Linked DNA regions of Saccharomyces cerevisiae S288C. The protein of the gene in region 2 purifies or fractionates together with the protein of the main gene of each other region. This does not show direct contact. Each region holds a gene or a part of one and is shown on either strand. Other genes may lie near its edges.

Region 1 (3,958 bases), on a different chromosome or scaffold from region 2:
CATATTTTTTTCTTTTTTTCTGATCCAAAGTTTTGTAAAACTTTAAAAGAGTTATATAAGCAAGTATTATTATCGTTGGAGGAAGAAAATTTGACCTTCCTTCAACTTTTGATTTTTTATTTTTTTGTTTCCAAGGATTAAAGTGTTCTTTGAGTACTAATCGTTCATCATTTTATTTTATTTTTGGCGCCTTAAAAATGGAACAAGGCAGACGCCGAAAAATACAAAAACAAAAGTCGAAATAAAAAGGGAAACTTCTATTGAAGGTGACATAGAGGCATTGACGCTCTTGCTATATGAACGTCGTTTATCATACCAGTATAAAAATCTAAATTAACTATTTAATAGCTGTACTCATACTGTCTCGGATTACCCTCTTACTGTTATCGTTAGTTGTGGTACACAATTCAGCAAGCTAAACAGCCAATTACTAAAAGTCATGTTTATTTTTTCTGCAGCTTTACACTTTGAGGCTCGCCACCTTCTAAATCGTGCTTAACTTATCTCAGGCTTGCTGTGACTTTCTTATTTGAAGCAAAAACAGCAAAAATGAGAGATAATGCATAAAATCCTAATGCCATGTAAAAGACGTCAGTGAGAGATTCAGAAATTATATTGCCCAATTTGGAATGAGAGCCATCGAAATTGGTCTGCCTATAGATTACCAGATTGTCTACCGTGGTACCATCTGGGAGCTGAATATTAGCCTTGGTTAATTTCTTGATAGCAGCAGCACTGAAAACAGTGTTAGAGATGACACCTCCCAGTGCTTGACCTAGATTTTTGCAAAATGTGTTAAAAGTGGTAATAGAGACAAAATCTGATCGAAAAGTTGGGCTCTTCTTGTCTAACTGAATTTGAGAAGCGAGCATGGAACTTTGTGCCAAACCACCGAAAGCAACGCCAGGTAATATCAAAAGGCCGATGTGAGCAGAGTTATTGGCATTATTGTTCAATAGGGTTAATATACCCGCACCAACAACACCAAAAATGCTTGAAATAACAATAATCGGTTTGATTTGGCGGGTTTTGTCGGTGATAGCACCGCAAAGTATTGCTGTAACGACTGTAGAAATAATGCAAGCAACCAGGTGTACAGCGGCTCTCCAGGCGGAATCATTGTAAATTAATTGGAAGTATTGCACAATATACGTAAACTGACTGATATATCCTGCACAAGTGAGAAACAAGGCTATATTAACCGTGAAAATACCTGGTTTCTTGATATTTGTCCATGACATTAATGGTTGGTAATGTGGTGTTGCTTTCACTATATTAAATTTGGGGAAGACAAGGAAATCATAGATACCTGCTAACACTACCAGGACTATACCGATGATGAAAAGAATAATGATGGATGCAGAGTTCCAAGCATACCGGTTACCGCCAAATGTGAAAGCCAATAGAATACATGTGAATCCAGCTGAACAAAACACAAACTCGATAATATCATACATGAAAATCAATTCCATGAACGGCTTTCTCCACCCATTAAGTTTGCTAAACCCTTTGATTTTCAATAAATGATATGCTACATTCCGAACAATTTCGATAAACTGTGATGGAAATTTGCGGATGTTATCCATTGTCTCTTGAAATGTACTTAAACCTGGGTTATAAAAGAACAGGAATAAGAAAAATGCTAGGCCACCGATCGGTAAATTAACATAGAAGCACCATCTCCATGTGACGCTGGAGGTGAAAACTCCTCCAAGGAAAGGCCCAACAACAGATGCAATAGCAAACGAACAACTCAAAACAGCAATTAGTATGCCTCTCTGCGACTCCTCTACCAGGGTTGAACCAATGACGAACGATAAACTTTGAATACCACAACCGCCGACTCCAGCAATAACTCTACCACCAATGAGCATACTCATTGAATTTGCTAAAGCAGAGATCAGCGACCCGATTTCAAAAATGACAATAGCAAATAGCATGGTCTCCTTGAATCCGATAGGTGTGGCAATTCTTCCCCATATCAACGCCAACAGAGCGTTTGGTAAGCTATACCCGGTAAATAACCACCCGATCTCAGAGTACGATCCAAACTGTTTAGCTACTTCTTCAATGATTGTAGAAACTATCATGATATCCAAGGCTGCCAGAAACAGCGACAAAGCCAATGCTATCAAAGATGCGTACAAGATAAACCCTTTAGGTAGTTCATTACTTTCGCTGGCGTTGTCCTCGAGCACCACGCTCACGTTTTGTTTTGATGTTGACTGCGTAGAATTTCGTCTCACAACATATTGTTTTTGCTGTTTCTCGTTCTGTTGTTGTGCTTTCTCACCGTAGTATGAGAGGTCGCTCATGCTGTAAGTCTTAGGTTCGCCTTTCATTGGGCTGCAATTTAGATACTAATGTAGACGTGGTGTTACTACAATTGTAGAAGAAAAGATACAAGATTTAAAGGACGTTGCAAGAGGGTACGGAAACTCTAGCATTATATATAATCAATTGATACAGTGCCGATTCTTTGATATAAGACATTTTTCTTTAAATTAATGTAGTGGTTCTGCTTGACACTTTTTATTGTATTTCCAGCCATAGCATATAGAAGCGCGGAAATACAGCGGATATCCGCTAGTTGGCGGAAATAATGCAAATTGGTAAGATCCTATGGTAACAGTGCAAGAAAGGGGCCTGAGTTAAAAAGAGAAAATGAGCCTATCCTAATGATGATAGCCAGGTTCATATTAACGTTGTTTACCTTTGTGTTCAAGATCAGGGGCTTTTGGCAGTATCTGAGCGAAATGAAATAAAGAAATTGATAATCACGTGATCACGGCTTTCTGGCTTGTAAAGCCGGTTATATTTATTTACCTTAGTAATACGTACTGCGGGGGCTATTGTTAAAGGGAAGAGAAACCAGAAGATCTGGAAAGGCAGCGATTATTAGAGGACAACTATAAGCATACATAACTAGCAGATGGATGTTCGTCGACCTATAAGGGAGGCAGTCAACAACAGGAGGAAACCAAAATTTTTGAGCGTTTCGTTTAACCAAGATGATTCGTGTTTCAGCGTGGCGTTAGAGAATGGATTTCGTATTTTCAATACAGATCCATTGACTAGTAAGCTATCGAAAACATTTAAAGAGTCTGCGACCAACCAATCCAGGGGCACTGGGATTGGCTATACCAGGATGCTTTATCGTACGAATTACATCGCACTAGTCGGAGGTGGTAAACGACCAAGGCATGCTCTAAATAAACTGATCATCTGGGATGATCTTTTGCAAAAGGAAACGATTACTTTGAAGTTTATGTCTTCCATTAAAGACGTGTTTTTATCTAGGATTCATATTGTGGTAGTCCTGGAGAACACAATAGAGATCTTCCAATTTCAAACCAATCCTCAAAGAATTTGTCCTATTTTGGATATCCCTCCCAATGGATCAGTGGACTATGTCGTTTGTAGCAGCAAACATCTCCAGTCGCAAGCATCGCAGTCACAGTCTAAAATCTTAGAAATCATTGCATTCCCATCGAATAAATGCGTAGGCCAAATTCAAGTAGCCGACCTATCACAAATAAAATATAATTCACAAAACCCGAAGGAATCAGCGCTTTTGCCCACTTCCATCATTAAAGCACATAAAAATCCCATCAAACTGGTTAGACTGAACCGTCAAGGCACCATGGTAGCAACATGTTCCGTCCAGGGTACACTTATAAGAATCTTCAGTACGCATAACGGTACTTTAATCAAAGAATTTAGAAGAGGGGTGGACAAGGCGGATATTTACGAGATGAGTTTCAGCCCCAATGGTAGTAAGTTGGCCGTATTGTCAAATAAGCAAACATTGCATATTTTCCAAATTTTTGAAACAACCAATACAGAAACGAATACACCAGACCACTCTCGTGCCAATGGTTCGAGCCATCCCTTGAAAAATTATATACCGAAGGGCCTATGGAGGCCCAAGTATTTGGACTCTGTGTGGTCGATATGC
Region 2 (2,994 bases):
CGTCCTTCTGATCTATATTTTTTAGCAATTCCTCAGGAAGCTCCGCAATTACTTCATCAGTGACCTCTGTCTCATTCACTGATTTCTTTTGCTTGGCGTATAATTCATTTTGCTTCCTTCTCTTGGACCGCAATTGTGATTGTTCCAGCCTTATAGCCTCCTCCCTCTGAGTGATCTGTGATTCTACCTCACTTTTCCCAGAGTGAAGCCCTTCTTCTTGTGGAGCATCATCATCATCACTTTCCTCATCACTACTTGAATGCACTTCCTTGTCCTTTTTTGATATTACCAGCACATCATCTTGTCTATCCGTGACAGCACTTGCGCTGGCTTGACTTTCATCGGCATCAAACTTGACGTGTCCATTACTCATTGTCTTACTTAATACGTGTATACGGGTAGTAACAGTTCAGGGTATCAATTCGTACTGCCTTCTAAACATATTTGGGCTTGTTCGAACAACTTCGCTAACCTCATCGCTTGAAAAGAAAAATTTTCAATCAACGGAACTTGATACCATCTTTCCGTGGAGGAACCTTCTTTTTCTTTTTATTTACCCGACCATTCCCGTGGAAGGTGACTTGAACACGTTTCAGAGTGCTATCCCCGCTAATTTCCGATTTCATCTCTGGTTGATATACCTTTTCAGTTTGTCGCTTAGCACGATTGAGTTGTCTTTTCAAAAGCTCGGCGGCTATGACTTCTTGCTCCTCTTGTTGACTTCGCAGCATTCCATCTTCAGAAGGTGATGATAAAGATGAGGGATGGATCCTGATAAGCAAAGGACCTTCAACGTTCTCAGATGTATCATCAATATCCATATCCACGTCTACCTTGCCCGCGCGGCCTAGGTACCGGACAAACTGCGTCAAAGAACGATGCATGGTGGCATTCATATGTACATGATCGCGATCTTGAACATACTCGTTGTATACTTTGTTAGCATCAATCCATTTTTCTCCGTGCCGCTGCTTCAATAACTGTAGAAATCCCTTTTCAAACTGGATATTGTAGCGCCTAGCGTCCTCAGCTGTCACTTGACTAATCTTCCTTAAATGAGATGGCGATTTGTTATGTGATTGAAATCCGTTTGCATCTTTACATTGCCTTTGGCATATTTGGCAGTAGTAACGGGTTTTCTGTAACCCACGACGAGCTCCCTGCTTGGACCAATATTTCGCACTATCATAATCTGCCATCGCTGTGATTTTCTACAATCAAACAACCCTGTGTTTTCGCTCTTTTTAGGACTTGTCAAGAAAAGAATGATGATACTGACTTTTCCATTTGATATTAATTTCAACTAGCGGAGTTTTTCCAGTTTTCAAAGTACAGGACAAAGTGTTGTGTAACCCGGACCAGATTTACATTGGTGTACTATAATATGTACTATAACAGATTGGAGGTATAAACCTAGAGACCCTTCTACAATACACGTACGAGGAGGTGGTCTTCGAAACTTACAGTACCACCTGACATGTCGTTATTAGAGCAATTAGCAAGAAAAAGAATAGAAAAATCTAAAGGCCTTTTAAGTGCGGACCAGTCTCATAGTACATCGAAAAGTGCATCCTTACTAGAAAGACTACATAAGAATAGAGAAACTAAAGATAACAATGCTGAGACAAAAAGGAAGGATCTGAAGACGCTACTTGCAAAAGACAAGGTAAAAAGAAGCGACTTTACCCCGAACCAGCATAGTGTTTCATTGAGTTTAAAGTTGTCTGCCTTAAAGAAGTCAAATAGTGATTTGGAGAAACAAGGAAAATCAGTGACATTAGACAGCAAAGAAAACGAACTCCCTACCAAAAGGAAATCGCCTGATGATAAACTCAACTTAGAAGAGTCATGGAAGGCTATTAAAGAAATGAACCATTACTGTTTCTTGAAAAACGATCCATGCATAAATCAAACCGACGATTTTGCGTTCACAAACTTTATCATAAAAGATAAAAAAAACTCGTTGAGTACATCAATACCGCTATCGTCGCAGAATTCATCATTTCTGTCCTTAAAAAAGCATAACAATGAGCTCCTTGGTATTTTTGTGCCTTGTAACCTGCCGAAAACAACTCGTAAAGTAGCCATTGAGAATTTCAATAGACCAAGTCCTGATGATATAATACAATCGGCCCAACTTAATGCTTTCAATGAAAAATTAGAAAACTTAAATATCAAATCTGTGCCCAAGGCCGAAAAAAAGGAACCAATTAACCTTCAAACACCACCTACTGAGTCGATTGATATTCATTCATTCATTGCCACCCATCCTCTGAATTTGACATGTTTGTTCCTCGGTGATACAAACGCAGGCAAATCCACTTTGCTTGGTCATCTTTTATATGATCTAAACGAAATTTCTATGTCATCAATGAGGGAACTACAAAAAAAAAGCAGTAATTTGGATCCTTCATCTTCAAATAGTTTTAAGGTCATTCTAGACAATACCAAAACAGAAAGAGAAAATGGATTTTCCATGTTTAAGAAAGTTATTCAGGTAGAAAATGATTTACTACCGCCATCATCAACCTTGACGCTTATAGACACTCCTGGTAGTATCAAATACTTCAATAAAGAAACTCTGAACTCAATTTTGACCTTTGATCCTGAAGTTTATGTATTGGTTATTGATTGCAATTATGACTCGTGGGAAAAATCATTAGATGGTCCAAATAATCAGATTTATGAAATTTTAAAAGTGATCTCTTATTTGAACAAGAATTCCGCATGCAAAAAGCACTTGATAATTCTTTTGAATAAGGCAGATCTAATTAGTTGGGATAAGCACCGACTAGAAATGATTCAGTCTGAGCTAAATTATGTGTTGAAGGAAAACTTTCAGTGGACAGACGCAGAATTCCAATTTATCCCGTGTTCGGGTTTATTAGGTTCGAATTTGAATAAAACTGAAAACATCACAAAATCTAAGTATAAGTCAGAATTTGACTCTATAAATTATGTTCCCGAATGGTATGAAGGTCCGACATTTTTTTC

Evidence for each region.
Region 1: the proteins of RTS2 (region 2) and AZR1 purify together in Saccharomyces cerevisiae (affinity purification with mass spectrometry, with the first as the bait; one large-scale study listed by BioGRID). This does not show direct contact.

The regions. Positions count from the first base shown.
Region 1 is NC_001139.9:941,190-945,147, reverse strand, and holds AZR1 (azole transporter), read right to left. Parts: upstream 2,343-3,958; coding exon 501-2,342; downstream 1-500. Other genes in the region: AMA1 (Ama1p), read right to left, coding at 1-3; phosphatidylinositol-3,5-bisphosphate binding protein HSV2, read left to right, coding at 2,933-3,958. UniProt on the Saccharomyces cerevisiae protein: Transporter protein required for adaptation to high stress imposed by low-chain organic acids, in particular by acetic acid, and for resistance to azoles, especially to ketoconazole and fluconazole.
Region 2 is NC_001147.6:470,104-473,097, reverse strand, and holds RTS2 (Rts2p), read right to left. Parts: upstream 1,200-2,994; coding exon 501-1,199; downstream 1-500. Other genes in the region: BUD21 (Bud21p), read right to left, coding at 1-373; SKI7 (Ski7p), read left to right, coding at 1,478-2,994.